2 linked regions of the Caenorhabditis elegans genome follow. The protein of the gene in region 1 purifies or fractionates together with the protein of each later gene. This does not show direct contact. Each region holds a gene or a part of one and is shown on either strand. Other genes may lie near its edges. The genes, in order: znfx-1 and csr-1.

Evidence for each region.
Region 2: the proteins of znfx-1 (region 1) and csr-1 purify together in Caenorhabditis elegans (affinity purification with western blotting, with the first as the bait; one study listed by BioGRID). This does not show direct contact.

Annotation. Positions count from the first base shown.
Region 1 is NC_003280.10:9,211,906-9,216,048, forward strand, and holds the start of znfx-1 (NFX1-type zinc finger-containing protein 1 homolog), read left to right. Parts: upstream 1-1,796; coding exon 1,797-1,963; intron 1,964-2,010; coding exon 2,011-2,216; intron 2,217-2,265; coding exon 2,266-2,380; intron 2,381-2,424; coding exon 2,425-2,511; intron 2,512-2,561; coding exon 2,562-2,657; intron 2,658-3,307; coding exon 3,308-3,746; intron 3,747-3,857; coding exon 3,858-4,143. Other genes in the region: ZK1067.4 (Transmembrane protein 151 homolog), read left to right, coding at 266-416, 498-893, 937-1,119. UniProt on the Caenorhabditis elegans protein: Epigenetic inheritance factor which, in association with the Argonaute protein wago-4, mediates small RNA-directed transgenerational epigenetic inheritance and thus balances the transgenerational inheritance of epigenetic information.
Region 2 is NC_003282.8:7,955,588-7,959,187, reverse strand, and holds the start of csr-1 (Piwi domain-containing protein), read right to left. Parts: upstream 1,922-3,600; 5' UTR 1,853-1,921; intron 1,615-1,852; 5' UTR 1,609-1,614; coding exon 1,134-1,608; intron 590-1,133; coding exon 430-589; intron 389-429; coding exon 235-388; intron 192-234; coding exon 1-191. Other genes in the region: Homeobox protein ceh-19, read left to right, coding at 3,383-3,600.

The sequences.
Region 1 (4,143 bases):
TGAGAGAAAAGACCTGGCGGGAACAGAAAGTGTCAGTCATATAGAGCATTTTCATATGCGAAGTGTATAAAATTTATATTTCTACAAGAAGTTGCCTAAAATAGCCACAAAAATAGTGTTTTCGAATTTTCTTCAATAAAGGGATGTGGCTCAAAAACGTTGAGTTCCATCAATCATTAGGCATTTGGCAGGAAGAAAAGATTAGCTACAGCAAAAAAAGATAGAAAAGTAGTATAAGTATTTATTTTTCAAATACATTTTCCAGTCCGAATTCGGTCAACTACACGGGGCCATTAACCAGAACATCAACTATGGATACTGTTGAGTTGGAGGCATTGTTGAGGAGAGAACAACATTTCGTTGTACCATCGTACAGTGAAGTTATGCTCATGCAAAATACGATTGCTAATTCAAATGTAAGGTTTTTTTTAAATATTAAAATTTTAAGATCATTTGCTCCTGATAAATATTTATTAATCGCTCTGATAATATTGTAGACCAATTATCCAAATATTCGATGCCTGGACCCTGTGATTCTTCCACGACCATTCGTGAGTACAACTAACGAACATATCGTACTTCGGAACTATGGAGCAACAGAAACCGACAATTCACTATCTGAGCCCATTACAGCAACGCCGAGACCTCTTAGAGTTAGCCGAAGTATGACATTTGCTGCTCAAGGAAATCTCGAAGAATCAGCTGAGAATCTGAGTTGTTTAGAAAACGGAAGTAGAGCAAATCGTGCTATTCCATCGAGTCGGCGGAATTTGCCGTTACGTTCGTTATCGATAGGTGGTATTTCTGCTTGGTCCAATGGTTACAGAGAAATTGGAAATCCTGATGATTCACAACTACTCATTGAACCAGATGAACCACCTCCACCATATGAGGTCGGTTTTCAATTTATAATGGAAATGACAATTTATTTCTCAGGTTGCTCTCAGAATGTGTGCTCCATTATATGAACGCCTACGACGATCAATATCTTCACGATTGGCTTCAATTTCTCACTCGAGCTCGAAGGATTTGAAGTCGCTAACTTTGAAAAGTAGTTCTAGTAACAATAATAACAATAATTCAAACAACAATAATAACGATGATCCAGAACATCCATAAAATCGGGTATTTTTTCACATGCGGACCAATTTTAAGAATTGTTAAACGTTGGTGCTTGAAATAAATAATTTTTCTGATTTTTTTTTATTTTCAAGTTTAAAAAAATTGTGTTTCAAGTTATTCGATTAAAAGCGTTGTTTTTATTGCCTTATTAAATGGTAAAAAGCAATCAATTTTTAAAGGAGCGTCCACTGAATACGAGGAGATGGTCTCGGCACGAAATATAAAAAACTACAGTACCCTTGGAAGTATTGGCGCGGAAATTTTTTTTTATTCAGTTATTTATCTGTTCAGTTTTCGTATTTTTGATGTTAAAACTCCATTTTTCTCTTCAAAATTTGTATTAAAAATCACTGGGCAACGCATTTTCACTATTACAGAAGTATTTTTGATGAAATCTTCAAGAAATTCACATGTTTCTTTGTTTAAAATTTTAGGATTTGACGGTTTCGGTTTTTAGGCCAAAAAACTCCGTTACCAGTTTTAATTTCGTTCTGATTCCGTGAGGCAATGCTTCACTAATCACATTTTTCACGAAATACAAAGTCTTGCTTGAAAATTTAACAAAAAACTCCAATACTCTCGCAAAATCTTGAATATGGCCATTTTATTTGATGTAATTATTTCTTTTACAGATAAATACTTCAAACCAACCAATCCATCTATCTGACAAGCTAATGTCCAGAGATAAACCACCTCAACGTGAGGTTGGCGGACGTCGGTTGCCCTACGAAATGGGTTCGTTGAAGTTCGACGAAGACCCGTTCCGCGGACAGCGCCGGCGTCCGTGGATGTGCTTCAGAATCGGCTATCCGACAAGCGAGTTCTCATCAGAGCACTTCATGTACGTTCAAATTATTCAAAAATTATTGAAAAAACGTATTGTTTCAGGAAATTCGTGAAAAGGTGTCACACTTCGATGATAGAAGTAGGTATTCTTCTCGATGATGAACGGGAATTCCTGCAATATCAAGAAGTCAGGGAAGATTATCTTCTTCTGAAAAAGCTCATCGAGGAAGGTCTGCAGAAGTGTGAAACGATCTATGAAAAAGGACCGCTGTCGACTCCGGTTGTTTTTTTCATTTTAGACCAGTGCGGTAAGAAAAGTAAATTATACATAACGTGTATAAATATTCACTCATACAGACGAAGACGAAGTCCAAAACATGCTGGATATGTTTAGGGAGTCTTGTTATATCTTCCATATGAAACGCAACGAAATTCTCAACTGGATCAACGAAATGGAGTATGAAGAACTGGAGTGAGTAAATGTTCAGCATAACGTCGAAAAAATTCATATTTCAGAAGTGACTGCTCTAAATTTGCACAGTTCATCAAAGGAGTGGAAAATCTGACGGAATCCATCGCGATGCCCATGGAGGTAGAAACAGAGTAGGCTATCTAGAAGGAAAAAATAATTAAAAAACATCTAACTTTCATAGAGAATTCATCTTTGGAAAGAGTTCGATTGTATCGACCGAAGACTTTGTTGAAGACGCCCCTCACAAGCAGATCGCACAAGATCAACGCGAAACAAGGTATCGTTACCATGTTGTAAACTTTCTATTCAAAAATTTTGCAATATCTCTTCGTTCATATTAGACTTATGGCCTAGCTATTTCTTTCTTTTTCCACACGTCCAACATAGATAGACAGTTCGAGACGTAGAGAAAAACAGAAAAACCGTGACTAGTTGCTTCCCCTGTGATTGATATGCTTTTTTTTCACAAATTCGAAAAAAATAATCTGAATAAGCATGTTTTCACATCAGAATTTGTTAAACAGTGTGTTTGGAAATACTGAAATATTCCCTTGACTCGCAGGATTTAACGAATAATTATTTCAAAATTTTCGATTGTTTTTCTCAATAACATCAATAATTTTTCCTGAATTCCTGATATTGCTTTTAAAAATATATAATAGAATTGGTGACCTTTGTTAAATCATTGATAATCGCAGTGGCTTTTGTTTTTATTCTCGTTTCATAAACAACGTGAATCGTGGTAGCGGAAAAAAAACCACATTTATCGTGTTCCCATCTTTCCCCAGAAACCTGGCCGCGTTCCTTTTCACTGTAGTAAACGCGGATTTTTGTGGGCATACTGATTTCGTTAGAAAATACTTTTTCTTAAAATGCTAGAGCTCTCCGCGTTCTCTCATAATGTATAATTAAATTATCTTGTTTCAGACCAATTCGCCAACCGTATTCAATGGTCAGAAACCTCGCCCCCCCAGGGCTCCCGCCGCCTGGAATTTCGATTTCAAACAGTTCGCCTCCTGGATTATCTTCAGTTTCGCCAATTCCCCGAGCAGATACACGCGAATCCCGTTATTCCACCCCTCAACCACCCGGATTGTCAATTCCAGCACCACCTGGAATATCTCTTCCAACTCCACCAGGAATATCTCTTCAAAATCATCAGAATGATCAATTCGAGCAAGCTCATAGTACCATTTCGAGAATGAGCGAGAATAGTTCATCTTCGAGGCGTCGATTCCGCGATGAAGAAGTTCAGGAAGAAGAAGGAGATCATATTCTATCGTCTGAAGATGTACATGCTGCGCGGAACGTGTGTGAAACCAAAATCCTTGTTAGAGGAGTTCCGCAAAAGAACGATTCTGAGTTGGTAAGATCTATTCATTTTTGTGATAAACTGCAACCTGTGAGTTATTTCGGCAATTTCCGGAAAACTAATCTTCAATAAACACGAAATTAATATTAAAATTTTAATTTTCAGTCCAAGCTCATCAACGGATCAAAACTATACGTACGGTTCGAACGTCCGTTTGTAAAACTAGCTCACAATCTAGAACTTCTCTACGTTGTCAATTATGCTATCAGTTCTCGAAAAAGTATTGTTCGGGATCACAGTAAAGCAATTATTCGCGGATTGTTCGAAAAGGATTTTCTACTGAAGCTCAAAAGTAAATTCCTGGAAAGCTCGTTTGACAATGACACGTGGACTCCCGAGGGTACAGAATTGCTATTCGAAATCTTTCATTTGTTTTTCACAACGGCTCGAT
Region 2 (3,600 bases), on another chromosome or scaffold:
GTCACAATATCCAAATAAGCGTAGAATCTTGGATCACTCCATTCGTTAAGCTCCGTCTGAACGAATGACGGTTTCTCGAGATCCGGTTCACAAGAGATCTCCAAATCGCCGCTGAGGAACGAGATGGAATCCTTCAGAAAATTGGAAAGTTCCGGGATTTCGAGAGCATCTTCTTTCTTGATATCGACCATCTATAAACCCAAATACAAGAAAGAAAAAAAAATGAAATCATACCAAGCTGATTCCCTCCAAAGTGAATAAAGACTGTGCACCGTCGTACGCGAATGCAGGAAGATTCTGCTGACCCTTCTTCGCGGCCCACTGTTTGAGTAGGATGTCAAGAAGAATAAAGTTATCTTTTTGCTTTGTTGCACGGTTTCCACGTCCTCTGAAATAAAAGTGTAAATTTTAAACGAACAGTACACTCACCTGGCACTCATTGTTGTAAGAATATACTCCTTATTGTGCTGACGATCGATGAGCTTCATTTGCACAACATGCCGGAAAATCGTTCGCTCAGAGAGCTCAAGCCCGAAGATGTTCAGGGCAAGTCTTGGATTTTGCTTCTGATTCATGTCAGAGTTAAGTCCTGAAAAAAGTATAGTTCAAATTATTATTTAAAAAATAAAAGCAATGATATCAAAATTCAAAATAAGAACGGGAAAGAAACGATCAACTAAACGCAGAGAAAGGCCTAAATTTCAAGTTTTTGGGAATGCGAAAATTCTAGAAGATTGTGATCACACCTGACGCGAAGTCGCACACTTTTCATCTACCGTATCCATGTGAGAGAGCGCGCACCACCCTTTGTTCAATGTTTTGATCAGATGAAACAATTTTTAAATATGCTAAAAAAAGAAAATATGTTGATTTCGTTAGCTTTTATTGATTTCATAACTATTCAGTCTTCTATTTTATCAAATTACTGATTTCTCAAAATTGTTTGTTATGTGCCTCCGCATTGGTATTTCTTTGTTGGTGGGAAGATTTTTTTTAAATCTCGAAAAACAATTTCCCGCCCGAGATCGAAATTATTTCGGTTCGTTCCCCGAAAAATCACAGGTGCGAGATCAAAAATTAATTTAAAAATCAGTCGCTATTTAAATACAAAATAATACTCAAATAATACTCACCTTTAAGCTTTGGCTCTGCTGAATTTTCCAAGATCAATCCATTATATTTAGGATCCACGGTAGTGGTTTGGGTCGATCCACCTCTGCCGCTCCCGCCAGTTCTCCCGCGATAGTTTCCGCCATTTGCTCCCCGATTGTACCCTCCAAAACGATTTTCTGCTTTTGATTCTTCATCATCACGTCTTCTGTCGTAACCTCCTCGTCCACCTCTGAATGATCCGCGGTTGCCTCTCGATCCTTCCTGACCATCTCGATGCGAGCCACGATAACTTCCAGTTGGCGTCTTCTCATAGTTGAAATCATGACGGTCTCCTCCTTCATACTTTACCTTGCCTTGATACGTTACATGGGTTTCTCTCGTTTCTAAATCCGGACGATACGAGTCTCCGTATCCTCCACGTCCTCTACCACGTCCACTACCTCCACGAGAACCACCACGGCTTCCACGGCCACGACCGACATTATCCGACTGCATTCTAACCTGAAAATATTGATAAATTAATCAAGAAATGTAATATTATTATTTTTGTGAAATTTTGAGGATGACAGTTGTTTATTATCCGCAAATTTTGAGGTACACAAATATCGAAAGCTGATTTCAATTGATTGAGAGAAAAAAGAAGGATTTTCGAAAAAAGAAAAAAACTTTTGAAGACCTATTTATTCAGATTTGGAAAACAGTTAAGTCAAATTTAAAACCTTAAAAGCATCACACAAACCTTCAAAGTATAAGAACTCTAACAATTCTTGCGAAAAACAGGAAAGTCTCGCTTCAATTTTGGAGCTAAAACGATAGAATAAACTAAACTTGAAACCTGACAAAACACCACGTATGCTGACCTTGAAAAACGTGGCTTTTTGGCCGTTTACCGTGACAAAGGTCAACACTTTTTTAATATATTTTACGCGTGGTGAAAGTTATCACAATTATTACTGGAGCACTAAATCCTGAGAATGAGTACTGTAGCAATAAATACTGTAGCATACAATTTTTAAACTAAAATTGAATCAAGGCTAAAAATAATTTTGAAAACAGAATTTCCAAAATATGTTTTTAAAGGATATTCTTACCGAACACTCGAAAATATGAATACAATGAAAATAAAAATTCAAATCTTATTCATGAAATTATCAGAGAAAGAGGAAAATAAATAAAAGCTCTTTGTTCCCATAAACATTGGAAAACCAATAAAAATGGGGTGAAATGGCATGATCACGTCTGCAATAAAGATGATTCATAACTGTTTATGCATCAAAAAAAAATGTTTGATTTTGGAAAATGTATCTAGTTATTTGGAACTAGGACGATAACCGTAATCAGAGATACAAAAGTTTGAACATTCATACCGATAATTAGTGATTAGCGGTATTTTGAAAAATGTAGATAATTCAACTAGAACAATGCACTATTTAAATTTGTATCAAGAAAGTTTCTAGTTCTTGAATTAAAGACAAAAATTCAAAATAAAAAATCTGCTTACACAATTGATTTGATAAAATTTTGTTAACAGCAAACATGTAGACAATAAAATATTTTGTCTGTTAAAATGTGTTTTTGATTTATGAGTTGGAGTCCCGTTAACGTAATCATTTCATGTAAAAATACAGTTCATTACTATATTAATAAAAGTAAAAAGTTTTAGACTTGTTTAAATTTGCGAAAACCTTCAACTGTCCGTTCCCAAAAATAATCCACAGTTTCATAATTCTCCTGGAGAATGCCTTGTGTGCTCAAAAATATTCATATTTCTATGAAAAAAGTGATAACAAAGAACCGAAAATTCAAAATCTCACGATAAACGATAACAAATCGTGGAAAAAACACTATTATTTTGACAATTTTCCAATATTTTCAATGCTCACTTTCCCATTTGTTAATTACTTTTTTTGGGGTTACTGTAGCCGAGCTATATAGCTGAATTTTCTTAGGAAGGTTTTCTCTGATTTTCTCAAAAGAATCTAATTTCAATTCCATTAATAATCTCAATTACCTTGCCTCAACAAAAATACTCAAATTTCAGTGTTTGTCATAGAATGATTACAAGCATGGGCGGTTGAAGAAAGAGTGTATTGGTGGAGAGAGACTCAGAGCTCACCTGTCGCATAACTTTCCCACGGGTTCCTAATATAAATCAAAACCTGAAGCCGAAAAGGCTCTCATTCTCAATCTAATTCCTAATCGTCATATATATTGGCAACTTCTCAACTCTACATTTTCTTAAAGTCTTTTAAATAAAAACTATTGAAAAATGGCTTTCAATATTGAAAGTTTACTGGAGAAAAAATCTAATCCAGTTGAAGAAGGTAATGATTTTGAGGAAGAAAACGACAGCGAAAAAAACGGTGAAGAAGACGAAGAGGAAGAAGAAAAAAATGTAATTGATGGTTGGACAAATATGGCAACAAGCCAATTGGCAATGTTTGCTATTGCAAATGATCTGAGAACACCAACTCTTGTTGAGTTACA